4 linked regions of the Caenorhabditis elegans genome follow. The protein of the gene in region 3 purifies or fractionates together with the protein of the main gene of each other region. This does not show direct contact. Each region holds a gene or a part of one and is shown on either strand. Other genes may lie near its edges.

Region 1 (2,917 bases), 8.8 Mb from region 3:
AGACGAACAGCAGAACTCGTAATTTTCGAATCAGAATTATTTGAACTTTAAAAACAGTTTTTCAGAGAAACGCAGAACTGGAAAAGCTTCAAAAAGCGAAGGAGCTCGAGCAACGAACTAGGGTTGAATGTCAACAGGCTCTTGACCAATACGATGTACTGAAAAAAATCCCAACATTGACGGAACAAGAACGGAAAGAAAACGAGACGCTCACCAAAAAGAAAATAGCTAAAGCCATTATTGCTGCACAAAAAGCTTCTCAAGCTGTGATGGATGCACGTGTAATTATGGGAGCCAAAGGCGAGGAACTGACAAAGTGAAAATAATTGATTTGTCTGTTAAAATTTCTAAATTATTGAAATTTTATAATTAATAGGTCTCAATCTGATGCAGTCTTTCCATATGAACATTGTTGCATTGTCTTAATTCTGACATGGTCTTGGTACATTGTCTGTCCAACATTTCAAAGCAAAATATCATTATTTGGGAAAATCTTTAAAAGCATTTATATGTTGTTAAAATGACCCAATATCAAAACGCAAAACGTTAGAAAAAAATTATCTATGAGCAGTTAGTTCGATGATATTGGTTGAAAACTCAGTTAAATATGACTATACTTTTGTAAGTCGGCCAAAACATGTTTTTTTGAATTTTCGCCAATTTTTAACCATGTTTTAAATAGTTGTCATTGACCAATATAGAAATTTTAAACCTGCTGCATCGCTTCCATTTTTTTTTCAAAAAATTTACTTAAAAAAGGCCAGTTACCAAAACTTCGATTGAAAATTTTGAATTCCCTATTCACAATGGGAGATCAGAAGCAAAGACAAGGAAATGAAAAATTATATCAACACTTTTCCCATAGGGAGTGAATTAATTTTGACTCTTAAAGCTAGACAATGTGCGAATATTTTGAATGTTACCACATGATAAGTTTTTTGTTAGAGTTATGCGATATTGAGTCATAAATCGGTTATAATATCATACAAAGGATCTTAGGTTTCTAGGGAAGTTAATAGAAACAGTCTATGCGGGAAAATCTGAAACGGAATGAATAACCTCACGTTCAAAGATATAGTTGCAAAAAAATATTAAATGTTGTTTCAAACCGCTCCGAATACAAATGCCACAAGTCCTTTCATAATTTTCAGAAACAATAAAGTTTTATCTAAAACTAATCCATTGCCTCGAACCTCTCGGTAAATCTAGTGGACACTATTTTGTTAAACAACTTTTACTTACTATGAATCTAAACTTATTTGATGACTATTTTTGCAGTCTTACAAAATTGAATAAGTTGAACAACATTATTTTTCCAGATGAACATCAGAGCGGAATAAAACACTGAAACGTTGTGGAAACTAAATACTACCGCCGAAACAGTAATATATTTCTGGAAAAAAATAAACACCTACTTCTCTTACTTTGTGGTATTTTTACTCGAAAACAGTTATATATTCAAAATATAGTTTCATTAATTTTTTAAATTCATGTTTATGTCGTGGCGTGGCAATAATACTAAATGTTTATATTAACTTGAAAGTTCGCAAAAAATTGATCATAAACGAGTTTATATTTGTACATTACCTACTCGTTCTATCCAAAGAAAGTTTAAATATATTTACAAATAACAACGTAAGTTGACGTTATTCTAAATGTCATACATCTGGATCGTTAAAAAACAGTTATCATGCATTGCAACATAGTATAAATGTTTAGTACATTCCTGCAAGCCGGACAATTTTCCTATTTATCACGAGTTTAATGCATATGTTGTCGATCTGTAACCTTTTTTCTATTCCATACATTATGCTCTCCGCTTTCGACGCTGCTTCTTATCAAATGGTCAAGTAATCAAAATTGGGAAGTTTTTGCTATAAATGCGCCCCTATCACCGCGTGCTCTTTCAATTCTTCCTTGCGTTTTGATGCTTCAGTGTTTCATTTCAATTTATTTTATTACAGAATGAAGACTCTTCTTGTACTAGCCGTTTTGGTCGCCGTTGCCTCAGGACTTGCCATCCCAGAAAATAGAAGCGCATTGAGCTGTCAAATGTGTGAGTTGGTTGTCAAGAAATACGAAGGATCCGCCGATAAGGATGCCAATGTCATCAAGAAGGTAATAAATCCGTGCTAGAAAAAAACCAACAACTCTTGAATATTCTAGGATTTCGATGCTGAATGCAAGAAGCTTTTCCACACCATCCCATTCGGAACCAGAGAATGCGATCATTACGTCAACAGCAAGGTAGACCCAATCATTCACGAGCTGGAAGGAGGAACCGCTCCAAAGGATGTGTGCACCAAGCTTAACGAATGCCCATAAACGGATCATTGAAATTTTTACTTGTTTGAAACTTTTACCAATAAATTTTCGATTTTTAAAAGTTTCAACCAGAATTTTGATAAATATAGAATAATTGTGACCAGAAATGTATTGGACCTTATTTTTTAGAAAGGGCCTCAAGTCTAATAACGAATCATAATAGTACTGATAAGGACTGTAATCCAAAAAGCTTCAATCCAGGAGAGTGGGGAACAATTGAAAAAATGTGTATCATTATGATTTTAGAGTTTGGAACTTGCCCGGTCTGCACACCATGTACACGTGACTGTTATTGCTTGAAACGCTGAAAGCTCGTTGCAAGCTTTTCTTGAGTTTCTAGAATTATCTTGAAGCTTGAAAGCTTTTCGCGCACAATTATTGATTGAACAGCGAAAAATGAGTACACTTTTTTCAAAACCTTTGATACTTTTTTGACACATTAGGAGTTTGGTTTGATAAGTTTTCTTTGTGAAATTGTCCTGCCCTGGACACCTAATTTTTACAGATAACAACATACAATTTCAGGGAAGTGCCGCGTCTTGATGATTTGCAATATATAATACCTGTAACTTTTTCACAATTATCGAAACTG
Region 2 (4,590 bases), on a different chromosome or scaffold from region 3:
GAAAATAATTTTCAAATTCGCAATTTTCAGTTCCCAAATGTAACCTATTACTGTATGTCCAAGTCGGCCGTAGATCAATTCACAAAATGTTTGGCTCTCGAAATGGCTCCGAATGGAGTTCGTGTTAATGCTGTTTGGTGAGTTTTCTCGCGATTTTTGCCAAAAAACTACGGTGCCAGGTCTCGAAGCGATCGATTCTCTTTAAGGAGTACTGTAATTACGATTTTTTCGGTTTTTAGGTTTTTTAAAGAAATATTCGAAAAATAAGAAAACATATACATTTCTTCCAAAAAGAAGAAAAATTGTCAAAATTTCAAGATATTTTGCGAAAAATCGGAAAAATATTTATTTTTGAAATCGAAAATATTTTTGGCTTTTTTTTTTTCGAAAAATCGAAAAATTATCGGAAAATATGAGTAAGAACGAAATCACAAAAAAAAACTAGGAAAATTTCCTGAAAATTCTAACTTTTTGCCGAATTTTCATAGGTTTTCTTGTTTTTGTTCAAATTTTGATGCATTTTTATATTTTTTGAATAAAAACGAATTTTTTAAAAGACAGGAGCTAAACTATGGAAAATTGCTTTAAAAATCTCGCAAAAACTAGGAGTAAGTAACTACAGTACACTACAGTACTCCTTTAAAGGCGCACGCACTTTTGAATTGAAAAAAAAAAGATCGCTTCGAGACCGGTTACCGTATTTTGGTGCAAAAATCGCTAACTTTCTCATTTTTTGTCGAATGAAACGCTAACAACACACGTATTACGGGAACACAAAATTTTGGGAATTCGTCTTACGCAACATATTTGACGCGCAAAATATCAAAACTACAGTAATCCTTTAACTGACTACTGTACTGCTTGTGTCGATTTACGGGCTCGATTTTGGAAATTAATTTATTTTCTTCGTTTCTTCGTATTATTTTCTCATTTTCAATAATCTTTTGATAAATAAAAAAACCCGTAAATCGGCACAAGTGCAACAGTAGTCATTTAAAGAATTACTGTAGTTTTGATATTTTGCGCGTCACATATGATGCGCAATACGCATTCTCAAAATATTGTGTTCCCTTAATAAACCCATATAAATTTGTCATTTCTCCAAAAATTTCAGCCCAGGGGTCACCGTGACCAACCTGCATCGTACATCTGGTCAAGACGAGACAACATATTCTGCGGTATAAAACCTGCTGCACTGACCTTGACAAATAAATATCATCATTTCTTTCAGTTCTTGGAACGTAGTAAAACGACACACGCACTCGGCCGTCCCGGTGATGCCAATGAAGTTGCTGAGGCAATCTATTTCCTCGCCTCTGAGAAAAGTTCATTCACTACTGGAGAACTTCTTCGTGTTGACGGAGGCCGCGGAATCATGCATCCGAGATAAATATTAGCTTTTTTGTCTCATATTGAGATTGTTTTGAACTTTTATCATGTAATAAATAGAGAGATACATGTATTTTTTTTAATTGTGTTTTTATTGAATCCTTTATAGTGGTTTTTTCCTTGCTTAATTTTTTTTTTTTTTGAAAAAAAATCGATTTTTTTTTGATTCAGTTTTGAATTTATTCAGAGTATCCGAAAATGCCAGTCGCCATCATCACCGGAGCAAGTTCGGGAATCGGAAAAGGCACGGCTCTTCTGTTCGCGAAAAAAAAGTACCAACTCTCGCTGACCGGAAGAAATACGGATTCTTTGAAGGAAGTCGCAGCACTATGTATTTCAGAGGGTGCAATTTCGGCTGATGATGTGAGTTTTATATTTTAGGAACTGTGACGGAAAGTACAGTATTACGGGAACACAGAATTCTGAGATTGCGTATTGCGCAACATATTTGACGCGCAAAATATCTCGTAGCGAAAACTACAGTAATCCTTCAAATTACTACTGTAACTCTGGTGTCGTAAATCAACACAAGCGCTACAGTAGTCATTTAAAGAATTACTGTAGTTTTGATATTTTGCGCGTCAATTATGTTGTGCATTACGCATTCTCAGAATTTTGTGTTCTCATGATAGCAGTTATCACAAAAAAATTTCGATTTTTTTTCCTCGTTTGTAATTTTTGGAAACACCGTTTTTTTGTCGAAAAAACAAAAAAAATTATTTTTTTAATTAAAAAAAACCGCCGCCATGGTCTTGACACATACAAAAAAAAATATTAAAACTCATCGAATATCAAGAAGTATACTAAAAATCATTAAAAATTACAAACACTTGCAGGTACTGTAGCTATGAATTTTATTATGTCGTTTCGAGACCAAAAATCGCAAAATTTTGCAAAAAAAGGGGATTGAACGTTTTTAGGTGGAAAAAATAGCGACATCAATTAAAAAATCGATTTTCATTCCAGATTCTGATAACTGCAGTGGAGCTGAGCTCTGATGAGGCGCCCAAAGCAATTGTGGATGCAACTGTACAAAAATTCGGAAGAATTGACTCATTGGTGAGGATATTCAGTTCGAAACAATTTGAAACTATCGAGAGAAAAGTTTTTCGGAAATTTAGAGTTTATCCATTTATTATTTACAAAATTTTCAGAAACGCGTACATAGAGGATCACGGATTTATTCGGTTGGGTCTTGCCACGAAAAATGTTTTTGCGCGGTGAGACCCAACTAGATAATTGCGTGCGCCTTTAAGTTCGTATCCCAGGAACAATTGCGGAACTACAATAGGTTTTTTTTCAATTTTATGAAGTCAATACTATTCAAAATTTAAACTTGAAAAATAAAAAACTTCACTTTTCCAGGATCCATAGTTTTTTTTTCGAGAAATTTCCCATTCTACCCTTAAAATATTCTAAATTTCAGATCAATTCGGCCGGGATTCTGCGTGCCGGACCAGTTCTCGATTCTGGAATTGAAGTCTACGATGAGCTAATGAATGTGAATGTTCGTAGTTTGATCCGCCTGACACGTGCAGCTCTTCCACATATTATTACAACAAAAGGAACTGTTGTCAATGTCAGCAGTATTAATGGACCGTGCCCTGTATGATTTTTCTTTTGGAAATTAAAAAAAAATATATTTCGAATTCGCAATTTTCAGTTCGCTGGGGTCACATATTACTGTATGTCCAAATCGGCCGTAGATCAATTCACAAAATGTTTGGCTCTGGAAATGGCTCCGAATGGAGTTCGTGTTAATGCTGTTTGGTGAGATTTAAATATTTTCATATTAAGAGCCCAAAAATTGAGAATAATTAAAATAAATTTCAGCCCAGGAGTCATTGTAACCAACATTCATCGAGCATCTGGGCAGGATGAAGCTACATATGCGGCAGTAAGTCTATTCTAACGACACGCAAGAAGTAATGGGCGGAGTCGGAAGCGCAACTCCGCCGCACGATTCTATTTTAATTAAAATTTTAACTGTTTTTTTAAAATATTCACAGCAAGATCAAATAATTAAAGTAATTCTAAAGCAAGATTTCGATTATTCAACCTGACAAATTAAGATAAATTGATTGTTTGATTTTTAAAAATGCGGAAAAATAGACGAAAAACAGTGCGGCGGAGTTGCATTTTCAACTCCGCCCATTATTCCTTGCGCGCCCTTTTCTGTGGGTCAAATTCTACACAGCGACATTACGGGAACACGAAATGCTGAGAATGCGTACTGCACATCATATTTGACGCGCAAATTATCTCGTAGCGAAAACTACAGTAGTTCTTTGAATGACTACTGTACTCGGTAGTTTGGCTCCCTTGGCGCGCGACGAGGGTGCGACTGGCGCGCGGACGGGGCGCGACTAGACTACTGTCTCGCGATCTAGTCGCACAATTTTCGCGCGCCGAGCGCATTTCTTTCGCACACACTACGCGCCCGGTTCGATTTTTTTCTCGCTCCCGCCGATTTTCATATTAAAATTGAAATCTTAGATTAATAAGAATTGCGTTTATTACAACAACGAACAATGGAAAAATAAAATTAAAAAATTAACGGATTGAAGACAGCTTGGCTGCAGGTCAATTGAATCCTAGACGGCGAGAGACTGGTGTTGCAAACCAGCTAGAGCTACTATGGCAGCGCCGAATGTGATTTTGGAGAGAAGATTCGAGTCGTTGAGGTAGAAAACACGACGGAGATGTGGATAAACTGCCATCATGGCGAGCTGCTCGAAGATCGGTGAAGAGGATTGACCAATCTGAAATATTAAGACGGTGAAACCGCAGTTGAAGCTTATAAGCTTATAAGCTAGCCTACATTGCCCGTCGAGAACTTGATTGGTTTCGGGAGCTCAAATTGTCTACAGAATTCCTCCGGCGGCACTTCCCAACGCTGGTCAACTTCTTCCCGTTCAACTTTTGTGGCAATCATGACACACGGCGTTTTTGTTCTGTAAATATTGAAATTATTGGGAATTGGATCTTGAAAACCCACCTATAGAAATATTTCTGATAAACTGTGGCGCAGAACGCGAATGAATTCGAGACATCATAGAGGAAAGCGACGACGGCCGCCGACGTCTCGCCGGACCCCAGCGCATCTTGTGGTGAGAGAACATCAACTTCACGCAGAAGCAGGTACTTGCTCTCCTCTTTCACTCGGACACGATTGATAACGAATGGAGAATGACGACGTCC
Region 3 (6,998 bases):
TTTCACTGCAAAAAACGGAACAGAGTACCCAGCTGATATTATAAAATATTCCTAATCGTGTACAGTATTTGGATGACAAAACTGCAAACTTTGGCAAATATGGAAAACAAAATTGAAAAAAAAAACAAATGTGGCAACCAAAATGGATGTACAGTATACCATTTCAATTTATTAATTTTGCTTCATTTCCAGAAGAGGAACTTCTGATAGTTTTGGAAATTTTCATCTCGCTCGCCGTGGTAATCATTGAAGTTTGGTTCCTGACAATTGTCCTCAAAGCCTACTCGTTTTTCACCGACAAGTACAACTACACCGGCGGAGACCGCGAGGACAACGTGTGAAATTGATTGCCAATCGTTTTTTTTTGTAATTTTTTTTCTGAATGTTTGCTAGTGTGATATTTTTTCCCCTTCCATGTACATGTACATTTTCCCCTCTTCAACCACCTACCCAATTTTCTCTTTTTGAATCAAAAATGTATTATCCGAATCCTCAAAAAAAAAAGAAGAAAAAGAAGAAAAAAAACGTTCACCGCCCAATATTCTATATTTATTTTATCCGGAAAAAGTTCGTTTTGAATAAAATATAAAATGGAAAGATAGAATGTGTGTGTGTGTAAAATGTATAGAGAAACTCAACTGAAAAGGTTGCGTTGAAATTGAGAATGCCGATAGTATAAGATAGAAGATAGATTGAATATTTGAAGGAATTTCAAGCTTTTTTCAAGGACATTGTTTTTAGGGGGGGGGGGTAACCATACAACACACAAAATATAAAAAGAGGTCCAAATTGCGGCAGACAAAATGTGGGGATATTGGAACTGAAAAAAAAGAATTACAACCATTTTTGTTGTTGGGATAAATATATATTTTTGGTTTTTTCAGATGGGGTGGGAATGGGACTTGGGGCGTAGAGAGTTGGGAAAATCGAAAAAAAAAAGAAAATCAAAGAAAAGTACAAAATAGAGACATAGGAAAACGTACAGATTCTTAAGCAGATGGGACTGGTGGAAGATGTGGTTGGGTGACGGACATGCGACGCGGGCGGTCGGCCTCTTCCATCGAGCTGGACAGAGTTCTTTGGCGCTCCATTCCTGGGATGGCGACTCCCGAGAGCACTCCGCATCCTTTGCAGAGAAGGATCAGCGAGCGGGCGAGCTTGTCTGGCTGAAATTTGGGAGATTGGAAATGATAAACGTTCCGCTGAAAACCTCGAAAAAAAGCAGCAATTTTCAAAAATTTTCAGATTTTTCCGACTGTCCGTTTTTGACAAAATTCTTATTGGTGCTATTCCACGTAGGATTTGGAACATTTTACTTTGGGGAGGAAAAATCGAGGGAAAGTTTTTTTTTTTGAATAATTCCATTTGTATAAAAAAATGCCCATTTTGATATTTGTTTCTTCTTTTTAAGGTTGAAACTCCATTCAAAAACATTATTTCGCCCCGGAATATTTGTCTCCAAGGATAAATATCCTACTGAAGTTTTTCCCCGGTTTCTCTCGTATGTTATATGAAGCTAGGGTTTTCATGTAGGCTGCCGCGCCTGCCTCGCGCCGCGCCACCTGTATAGTGTGGCGCGGAACCCGAAAAGTGTGCAGAAATGAGGCGAGAGGCCGGCAGGCTGGAGACAGACTTCAGGCCCTGAAACGCGCCTGCCTCCCATGGAAGCACTATATAAAGTAATTTTGAATTATGTATGGATTATTTAATATCAGTATTGATAAATCAGTATTGATAAAAATTAATATTTCCACGTGAAAACAGAGAATAGGTTCAGAAACTCAGAAATTCAGAAAAAAAATTAAAAAAAAAGAGGTTGAAGTTAGTTTCAGAATTCGAAATTAAAAAAAAAAATTTTATGGTACTTTTTGTTCAAAAAAGTCAATGAAATCTGTGAAATTTGAGTTCAAAGACATACACGTGTAAATTATGCGAAAATTTGTTTCAAGAGATCAGAATTATGTGCAGGATTCGATTTCATCAATATTTTTTTTCAAAACATAAACTGTAACTTACAGCCTCTTGCATAACATCGGCCACGTTGTCCACCACCAACAGAGTCGTTTTCTTCTTGTTCATCGACTTGTGAGTCGTGTAAACCGTGTGGAGATGAGAAGCCTTGCTTCCAGTCACCAAAAGTGCGTCCACTCTGAAAGTATAGTATACTAATATCAGCGGTTCAGTAGGAAACTCACGTCTCGAGCTTTGTTCCAATAGTTGAGGAGAGATCAGTACGTTTGGTGAAAGCGACGAGGTACTTGGACAAGTTCTTTGGGTTCAAGGTGGCCTTGAGCTCTTCCAAGTATTCCTGGCGAGATTTGGATTCCTGAAAGTAGAGAGTTTATTTTTTATTGCTTAATTATTTTCGATTTTCTATTACAACAAAAACATGTGCTTTCCCACATATGTACAACGCATTTCAGGGGCTAAAATCTAAGATCGATGGATCCAATTTTCGTAAGAGCAAGCAACCAAGAATCACTGATGGTGAAAAAAAAAAAAAGAATCGAAAGAAAAATACTACAAATTCTAAAAATCACTTGTTAAAAGTTTAAAATCATTACAGAACCAGCTAGTAAGTAGACTTACATCTCCCTGAAATGAAATGTTAGAAGACAGTTACAAAAATGTTTAGGAAAGCAAGCAGTGAATAATTTTCCAGTTGAGAAAACTTACTCCTCCAAATTTGTGGGCTAGCAAGTAGTCCCAGGCACCGTCCGACATGATGGAGTTCTCCAAACGCATGTTCATGACCTGCAAATGTATGAGATTGAAAATCATTTTTTTATAAATTTCATCAGTTGAACCAATTGGTTTTAACTGTCTTTATATCTAATTTTAGCGTACTACATAAAATGACAATTTTTAAAAATTAGGATTTCTTTAGAAATGTTTTACGGGAGACTCTGTAATGCTTCAACTTGAACGCATGTTCCAAGCGGGGCAACGTAATATTTTAAAAAATGTCTCAAAAAATTTAATGACAGTTCAAAATTTTTTATGAATTTTCAAAGTCTTGAATTTGGTTATTATGAGCTTTCTTAAAAGTGGAGTCGCGCGCCTGTGGGAATTTTTGTTTGAATACACTTATAATAATTCAAAACGACCAAATATCATGATAAAACATCCAAAAAACTTCAAATTTTTTAAAATTTCTAGTCAAAGTTTCGGCATGCAGTTTGATAAAGCAAAGAATATATCGTGTAAACTTTCTTCAATCGTTGAGATTTGGGAATTTTCCAACGAACTGTTTTGTTTTAAATATTAGTAAAAATAGTCATTACATATCTATAGAGGAAAATCTGATAACCATTTTTTGATTCCGTAAGTTTTTATAGTTTTTGGAACATTTAACTCCTTGGAGCGCGCTTTAGAACAACATTCAATATTAAATCTTTTCAATGAGAATTTGCTCCACGTTTTCTAGTAATTTCTTTGCTTGGGCTTGTACTTTTATAACAGAATTTTAGAAGTTTCCATTAAGAAAAACCAATCTTAAGAAGTTTTGGATCTTTTGACCCCTCTACGTCATTGCCTTTCATGAAGCAATCTTCAACGATTCCCCTCTCTCTCTCTCTTTTTTTTCAGCGGTTTTCATCTTGATATAATCAAATTTTCCTCGCTCATTTTTTTCCCAAAAAATTATTTTCCTTTTGGCCCTCCATCCTCATTCAAAATTCTTTTTTTAGCTTCTTCCCACCCTCTTGGAGGACTCCCTACTGCTCATTGCTCGTCAAAATGACGTTGGCGGCCGGCGGCGGCAAAGTATTGAGCCGAGTGCCGAGCCAGCTCAATGCAGATCAATTATCATTCTGTTACAACACCGTGCATCAGCATGTATTGAATGACAAATTGATGCGCTTACCTTTTCCTTGCAGTACTCAATAATTCCAGCAGTCGTAGATGTGCAGTGCACCAAGACGATTCCCATGATTCTGTTCGGGTGTCCCATCTGAAAAAAGTTTGCTCAAAATTTTCTGATGAAGTTTTCAAAAAAAACATCATTGTTTGCCACTGGCCAGTTGTTCGTTTATTTTTTCTATCCAAAACTCGCGAAAAAGTAAGTAAATCCAAGGCAAATAGTGATTCTTCTTTTTCAAAACTAACCCAACTACAAACAAATGTTCTTAAAGATCAAATATTATGAACTCACTGCAAATCGGCAGATGATATTGGCTCCGACTCCTTCTCCAAAAGCGATTGCTGACTTGACTTCGAATTTGTCGAGCACTGCACTCAGATCATCTCCGATTCCGTCAAGAGTTGGGAAGTCGCCGAAAAAGTCGGCCGAATTGTCCTCCTGTCCCGGAACGCAGACGTGGAGAAAGATGGCCTTCTCCTTGACGGTAGCCATGCTTGGGTGGTTGACGAAACGCACAAAACTCTTGTCTGAAAATTTGGAATTCTTATATATTTTTTGAATTTGATTCTCATGATCAAAGAATTACACATTTATTGAAAAGTGCACCTAATAGAAAAAAGCCTAAAATATGTTTTGAAATAATTTTTTAAACTTTTATAGTAGTTTAAATTTTTAAAACTGAATCTAGCAAAAATTGTTAAGTGTGCTAAAATAAACCTTAATTCTAAATTAGTTAAATATAACTAAATTTTTCAAAAACTCATGTTTCAAAATGACGTCATAGTTCAGTAATTTGAAAGCAAAACTTTCATAGTTATCCATGTAAAAAAAATTTTACTACATCAAACATTTTTCAGTCCCTTGTATTATGTTTTACGACTGGGATTTTAGATTGGATATTTATAAATCTTAAAGTTTAATCTAAAAGCGGCGGATTGTTGATTTTTTGTCTCAAAAACATCATACGGACACAAAGAAAAATACATCGAGATTGAAAAATAATTTCTGAAAATTCAAAAATATCAAGCTTTCTGACAAATAATGGGAGTGAAATAAAAATTGATATTTTAAAATTTGCAGTGACTTTTTGATTTAACCGAAAGTTCCAAAAAATGTTCAAATTTTAAAAATCATATGCTTATTAATAATATGACTTTTTGTCTCAAACATTCTGTTATTCAGAGTTAAAATTTTAGAGGAACGAATATATAGACCGAATCTCACTAAATTTTTCAAAATGCTAGTATATAATTCATTTTGATTTGAGGAAACTACCTATATAAAAAGTTTTGCCAAAATTTTCTAGAAATGGAATAATATTTTTGGCAGTTATTATCTTTGAGTTCCAGTTTTGAACAATTCAACATAACATTTTTTTTTTTCAGTAAAATTCCCAATTCACTCACGGTTAGTTCCAATATCGTGAACGGTCAGGATGATGGTTTTTCCGCCACGCTCCTCCAAATTTCCCTGAACGTAGACATGAAGAACTCCGCAGTTCTGGGCCTGGACGACCACCATTTGCAAGTTATCCTCGGACATTTCTGGAAGCAAACAAAAAAAGTCACAGTCACGCGTGAGAAATAAATGAACTAAAGTGAAACATGTTTTTTTTCTTGAAAGACGAAAGTTGACAAAGGAAGTATGTGAGGAAGACGAAAAAATCGAATTTCATAGACAGAGAGCGGGCACAAGAAGAGAGAGACAAACGCACAAAAAAGAGGGGAGAAGATGAAGCAAGAGCGGAGAGCTGTGTTGGGTGGCAGGAGAAAGAGGAGGAGAAGGCCGAGATGAGAAAAACAAGGAGGCAAAATGGGTGGCCGCTTTGGGAGCGTCTTCCAGAGGATGCACTGGTCACGTGTTAAGTCCCTTCTTTTTCGGTCTAAACAACATCAATAATTTTCGGCTTGTTTTTTTTTCGGCCAAGCTTAGGGAGCAAAAATTACAATGTTCGGGGTTCTGAGACATTGATGAAGAAAGAAGATTGATATGTGGAAATTTTGGTTTCTGATTTCTTGATGTTGATACATTTTTTAAAAATTGGTGGCTCTAGTAGGCAAGGCGCAGTCCCCTAGTTTTGCCCAAAAGCTGAAAAGTTGAGCAGAATTAGTACAAAACTCTGTAGAAACTGTAGAAAGTACTAGAAAGTACTAGATACTAGATACTAGATACTAGATACTAGATACTAGATATTAGTACTAAAAAGTAAAAAGTACTAGAAAGTATTGTAGAAAGCTCGGTGCAGGCCGCCATAAATCTATGAAACTTTTCTAAGTTGGAGTCAAGGAATTCAAATTTGAAACGCTTTGGGTGCCAAAAAAGTTTAAGACTCTGTTAAACCCAAGGTCATTTTTTGACAACATCTTTATGAAATTTGAGACCTTAGAATGAACAAAGAGGTTACATTAAAGAGATCATGTCTAAGGTTAGCCTAAGGTTTGCAAACTTCTTGATAAAGTTAGGACAAACTAGGGCAAAAATTTGACTCCAAATTCCAGATCCATGAAGATTTTCCAGTCCTTCCTAAAAATCGTCAGAGAAACTTGTTCTAAAAATTGATCTACAAGAAATTTAATGTAGAATATTTCAAATTTAAGTACACAAGCAATTTCAATACAAGGATAGGTGTCTGCTATTCTTTGTTCAACTTCGGTTGGCTGATACAAAAGTACGAGTACAGTAACCGTTACTTACTGAAAAGTACGTGATATTGTAGTTTCCATAAAGGCTTACTTAAAGTACGCAAAAAAATATACAGTTTTCAGCTCTGTGTGCAACTCAGAATCCTAAAGACTTAAAAAAACCAAAATCTTGAGACCTTGCAGTTGGTATTATCAAAATTTATTATTTTACTAAACTCGTGGAAAATTCAATACGATTATCCGATAAAAGTGTATATGGGTCGTGGGAAATTGACGAAATATTGTTTTGCACGTAAAAAGGAAATAGGACAAAAAAATCAAGTGACTTCCAGAACTCTCCTAGACAATACTGAATAACTGAAAAGTGGAATTCTCACGTCACCAGAATTTTTCGCGTCTTATCACATTTTGTTGTTGACTATTTTTTTGTATCAATTCTACATGTAGTTTCAGGAAGCAAAAATGCGGTCAATGATGTTCAATTTTATCACTTT
Region 4 (5,015 bases), on a different chromosome or scaffold from region 3:
CGTCTTTTCGATGAGAAGTGCTTTGTCCGTTCAATTGCTGTTCATCCATCAAAACTCAATGAGATGAAGAAGGCATTCCCAGGAAGTAGCAAGATCAAGATTTCGGACTTGCAGTTTGCATGCTAGTTTGCCTGTTCTTTTATATTCTTATTATTCTTCCATCATTTCCCCGTTTGTTGGCTCTGGTTTTATTTATTTCTTTCGGTAGCTTGTTTTGTTAAATAAAGTTCTGGTCTGATTTGAATTAAACACAAATGGAAAAAAGTCGGTGAACGTTGCATTAAACAGCTACCCCAAACATCACTGTGAGAGAACTGTAGAAGGGTCCAGATGTGTGCGGCATTCAGAAAATTCAGCATACGGCTTATGCCAAATGCCGTAGATAATCTCAATTGCTTTCTAAATATAAAAAAACAATTAAATTTGAAAAGATCAATATTTATTTCTCCTGTTTAAAATTCAAACATGAAAGTGATAAAATGGCGGGAATGTTTTTATAAATACAAATGCAATGTTGATAATGACGATGATGATTAAAATTAGAAAGTTTCGTTTCCTGGAATCTCGAACTTCGTGGAGAACTCCTCAACACGTTTGGCGAGATCAGCGACGTCTTTCTTGAATGGTTCATTGGTCTCAGTGAATGATTTGAAGTCTTTCAATGTCTTTCCAGCCTCAGCATTGTACTTCTTTGCGATTTGAACACCTGAAATCAATATTTTAGATTAATGTTGAAGATTACAGTTGAAAAAACATACCCTCATGAATGAAATCTCCGACTTTCTCGAAATCTTGCTCCTGGAATCCACGGGAGGTGAGAGCTGGAGTTCCGAGACGAATGCCTCCTGGTCTCAAAGCAGAAACGTCTCCTGGGCACGTATTCTTGTTGCAAGCAATATGAGCGAGATCAAGCACATGCTCAGCACGAGCTCCTTCAACTCCGATTGGGCGCAAGTCAACAAGCAACAAATGATTGTCGGTTCCTCCGGTTGCCAAAGCATATCCATGCTTCTTCATTCTCTCGGCCAAGGTTTTGGCATTCTTCAACACTTGCTCTCCGTACTGAACAAAATCTTCAGAAAGGCATTGTCTCAAAGCAACGGCAATTCCAGCAATAGTGTGATTGTGTGGTCCACCTTGAAGTCCTGGGAACACGGCCGAGTTGATCTTCTCCTCCAAATCATACAAAGTGTCAACTCCCTTTGCGTTGGTAGATCGGACACCCTTTCTGTAGAAGATCAAAGCTCCACGTGGTCCTCTGAGCGACTTGTGCGTCGTTGTGGTTACAACATCAGAATACTCGAATGGTGATGGGATAAGTCCAGCGGCAACAAGTCCGGAGATGTGAGCCATATCAGACATCAAATAGGCTCCAGCCTTTGTGGCAATCTTACGGAAACGTTCATAATCGAGATGACGAGCGTAGCAGGAAACTCCGGCAATGATGGCTTTTGGACGGAAAAGCATTGCATTCTGCTCAAGCTTGTCATAGTCGATCAATCCAGTTGTTGGATCAACCTTGTATGGAAGAGACTGGAAGAATTCAGAAGTCGCAGAGACTTTGCGAGCTGGGGTGAAGAATCTGAAATTAAATGTATAATTCATTCGAGTCTAATCTAGATAACCTTACCCATGAGTCAAATGACCTCCATCTGGAAGATCGAGGCCCATAATGCGTCCATTGGATCCAACGATGGCAGTGTAGACTGCGAAATTGGCTGGTGATCCGGACAATGGCTGCACATTGACTCCCCACTTGGCTGGATCAAGTCCGAATACCTCAAGAGCTCTCTTCTGGCAAAGGAGCTCCATCTGATCGATGAACTCATTTCCTCCGTAATACCGAGCTCCAGGGTATCCTTCACTGTATTTGTTGCACATTGCCGAGCCAAGAGCATCCATAACAGCCTTGCTTGTGAAGTTCTCGGAAGCGATGAGCTCAAGTCCACGACGCTGCCGCTTCTTCTCCTGAAAAAAACAAATGACTAAGATTTGAGAAACATTAAGTCTTACATTTTTCATGATATCGAAAACTTCTGGATCAACTTTCTCAACATGGTCCACCAAAATGTTCTCGTTGTTGGTGTACTTGTGGCGCTGAACTTTAGCCAATGGTGTGTGCACTTGACGATCAGCCATTTTACACTGTAAAACCAAATTAAATTAAGCAAAGAAGCGAAAAAATCGGGAACATATTCAACACAAAAGCTGACGCGTTGGCAACACGTATATGCATGGGAAAGTGTGGAGAAAATAAGAATAAAACTGGATTCGCGGTAGGCTATGATGATATCTGAACCGGGAAGTTTTCGAGATTGGGCGCATCCCGGATCGTAGATCAAAACTGATAAGTCAAAAGTTACTCATTAGAAATTGTAATTAAAGAGGTATTCGAGCGTGGTTTTAACAAGTGTACACTAACTTAGTAATAAAAACAAAAAAGTGGTCTCTAATAACAAAAATATAATGCAGATAACTTTCAAATGCAAACACAAAACATTGCTACAGAAAACTATGCAAAGAAACCATTTAAAACAAGTGCAAACGATACTGCAGCGTGTACATGTGTTATTCAGAACTGCAAAAAGAAACAACGGAGCAAGACATTTTCACAGCTTATGGTAAAAATATACGCGGAGAAAATAGAGAACTACGATTATCAATGCAACATCACAGAGATGATCATTAAAAATAAAAATAAAGAAGTGAATAGAGTTTATCAGTTACCAAGTTGTTATCAAAGCAACAAAAGCGGCGCCTGTGGGTCAATGTCAACGATATTTCTATTGCTGGACAAGTCGGAGACAAGCCCGAGATAACTGAGTGAAAGGCGGAAAATGGCAAGATATTATGATGAAGATCACTTTCTGATCAGAAACAACGAGTGAACCATGGACGGTGCCGTTTTGGGAATGAAAATGGGGAGAGAAAAGCAAATTGCAACTTTGAGCGGGCAAAATTTTTACAAATTCAAATATTCGCGCCATGCGTATTTTACAACTGATCCCACGCGAAAGTGCACACACAAACCTGGGAGCTGGCTCCGGCAAATAATCCAGTTGCTGCTCTTCTGCTCACTATCCTTGCAAACATTTTGTGCCTGAAAATATTAAAATAACAAATAAAATTCTAGAACTTCAGAATAAATGTGTTAAAACAGAAATCGACTATCGATCAGACCACTGATCGTTATCAGTCTTATCAGTTTCTCTGTTTTGTTGCAAACAAGAGATGAAACTTGCCGTTTTTATTGCGATTCAACAGAATTTAAAGACTGATAGGTGGAAATGAGCGGACCGTTGATTCAAAAAATTAATACGATTTTATCGGTTTTAAAAGCAAAAGGTCAAACAACAAACTACTTATTTATTAAAAAAATTTTCAATTAATTTTTATAGACCCGAAAGAGTTCCATCGCTCAATGATCCCGTGATGACTGCAAGTGATTCTTCACTTTGCCCTGCTTGCTTCAAAATTCGATTTTGACGTTTTCGTGCAGCATCTTGGATTTTCCTAGCTGATTTTTGCTCTGAAGTCTCCGTCTGCAAATATTGCCGTCTTCTTGCTGCATCACGCTGTCGCCGATTTTCAGCTTCCTCTGGTGTTTCATTCTTAATAGCATCCCGACGTCTCTGAGCATTCTTGGCTCTACGCAATTCAGCTTCTTCTGGAGTTTCAGCCAGGAGACTCTTCCTTCTCCGTTCCGCATCCTTATTCCTTCTTTCCTGAGCTTTTTCGAATGACTCCCTTTGCAGATACTGGCGTCGATGCTCTGCAGCCTTTATTCTTCGATTATTTGCCTGATCTTCCGACTCTTGCATTCTTTCCATTTTTTTTCTTTCAGCTTGCCTTTTCAATCGTTCTCTATATTCTTCTTCTGTCTCTTCTGAGCATCTCTTCCTTTTATAGTCTGCAGCCTTGGCAAGACGTGTGTGAGTCTCCTCTGATGTTTCACGAGCTCTTCTCAGACGTTTCCGATGTGCTTCTTTGGAGAGTCTGCATTCTCTAGATCCTTCTTGAGGTTCGGATGAACTTGGAATATCCGTAATATGAGGTCTGAAACTTAAAAAAAATTTTAATATGCTATTTACTACTCTTACTCATCACTTGAACCAGGTAAAAATGTTGCTATAAAATTCTGAATTGTTTCTTCTAGGCCAGCATTTTGTGGACTTTCAGATTTATTCCCATTACTCTTCTCATCTTCTTCTTCGTCTTCGACAATATTTTTGCAATCTTTTCTACTCATTCTGAACTTACAAATATACATTAATTTTTCAGAAAACTTGAAAATCTACATTACTAAATACACAGACAGAGGTTTTGCGACTCCTGCGCCAAGAATACGGTGCCGATTCTCGACACGACATGTTTTAGTTAAATGAGAAAAACTTGTGCGCCTTCAAGGAGTACTGTAATTTTTTAATCTAGTTGGTGTGGAACCGTTCATGATTTTTCATACTTTTCTTACGTTCTGTTAAAATTCGTGTTTTTTTTTGAGTTTTCAATAGTTAAGGATGTTTTTCATCGGAATACGATGGAAAATCGATGAACATTCCGCAACTACAAAAGTTTGTAATTAAAGTACTCTCCAAAGGTGTGCACCGTTTTGAAATTATCACATTAAAAAAAATATCATGTCGAGACTGGGTACCGTTTTTGGCGCAAAAATCTCAAAATTACGCGTCGGAGTAATAAGAAAAATATAAATAAGGCTCAAAGAAAACAGGAGAATCGATGACGGCTTTCTGTGTGTCTGTGTGTCTTCATATCTTCATTGTCGGTGTTTCTGTGTGTATGTCTGTCCAGAGACAAACATACACGAGCGCAGACGTCTTGTTTGATTATCTGCGTCTCTTCTTCTATACAACACTTTGCAATCTTTTCAGAAAAGGATACTGTAGTGGGATGAATGTATATATGTACCACAATTATGGCAATATTGAAGCTTTTCCGTTCAAGTACACACTAATCAGAAATCTATTCATTTGGTTTGGATAAAAATGTAATGGCAT

Evidence for each region.
Region 1: the proteins of ndrr-2 (region 3) and spp-5 fractionate together in Caenorhabditis elegans (co-fractionation; one large-scale study listed by BioGRID). This does not show direct contact.
Region 2: the proteins of ndrr-2 (region 3) and Y47G6A.21 fractionate together in Caenorhabditis elegans (co-fractionation; one large-scale study listed by BioGRID). This does not show direct contact.
Region 4: the proteins of ndrr-2 (region 3) and mel-32 fractionate together in Caenorhabditis elegans (co-fractionation; one large-scale study listed by BioGRID). This does not show direct contact.

Annotation. Positions count from the first base shown.
Region 1 is NC_003284.9:7,319,402-7,322,318, reverse strand, and holds spp-5 (Saposin B-type domain-containing protein), read left to right. Parts: upstream 1-1,964; 5' UTR 1,965-1,965; coding exon 1,966-2,118; intron 2,119-2,166; coding exon 2,167-2,325; 3' UTR 2,326-2,382; downstream 2,383-2,917. Other genes in the region: T08A9.13 (uncharacterized protein), read left to right, coding at 1-18, 66-320.
Region 2 is NC_003279.8:3,556,794-3,561,383, reverse strand, and holds the start of Y47G6A.21 (DeHydrogenases, Short chain), read left to right. Parts: upstream 1-1,576; 5' UTR 1,577-1,587; coding exon 1,588-1,752; intron 1,753-2,355; coding exon 2,356-2,448; intron 2,449-2,815; coding exon 2,816-2,995; intron 2,996-3,052; coding exon 3,053-3,159; intron 3,160-3,222; coding exon 3,223-3,286; intron 3,287-3,981; coding exon of another isoform or gene 3,982-4,151; intron 4,152-4,210; coding exon of another isoform or gene 4,211-4,343; intron 4,344-4,387; coding exon of another isoform or gene 4,388-4,590. Other genes in the region: Y47G6A.22 (DeHydrogenases, Short chain), read left to right, coding at 31-137, 1,115-1,178, 1,232-1,390.
Region 3 is NC_003284.9:16,123,410-16,130,407, forward strand, and holds ndrr-2 (NDRG family member Related), read right to left. Parts: upstream 5,407-6,998; 5' UTR 5,405-5,406; coding exon 5,269-5,404; intron 4,390-5,268; coding exon 4,154-4,389; intron 3,953-4,153; coding exon 3,866-3,952; intron 2,755-3,865; coding exon 2,677-2,754; intron 2,327-2,676; coding exon 2,196-2,326; intron 2,150-2,195; coding exon 2,017-2,149; intron 1,167-2,016; coding exon 990-1,166; 3' UTR 533-989; downstream 1-532. Other genes in the region: ZK1073.2 (uncharacterized protein), read left to right, coding at 193-341.
Region 4 is NC_003281.10:6,439,723-6,444,737, forward strand, and holds mel-32 (Serine hydroxymethyltransferase), read right to left. Parts: upstream 3,094-5,015; coding exon 3,031-3,093; intron 2,146-3,030; coding exon 2,014-2,145; intron 1,969-2,013; coding exon 1,631-1,968; intron 1,583-1,630; coding exon 759-1,582; intron 707-758; coding exon 540-706; downstream 1-539. Other genes in the region: C05D11.1 (uncharacterized protein), read left to right, coding at 1-126; C05D11.13 (Vicilin-like seed storage protein At2g18540), read right to left, coding at 3,393-4,062, 4,101-4,249. UniProt on the Caenorhabditis elegans protein: Interconversion of serine and glycine.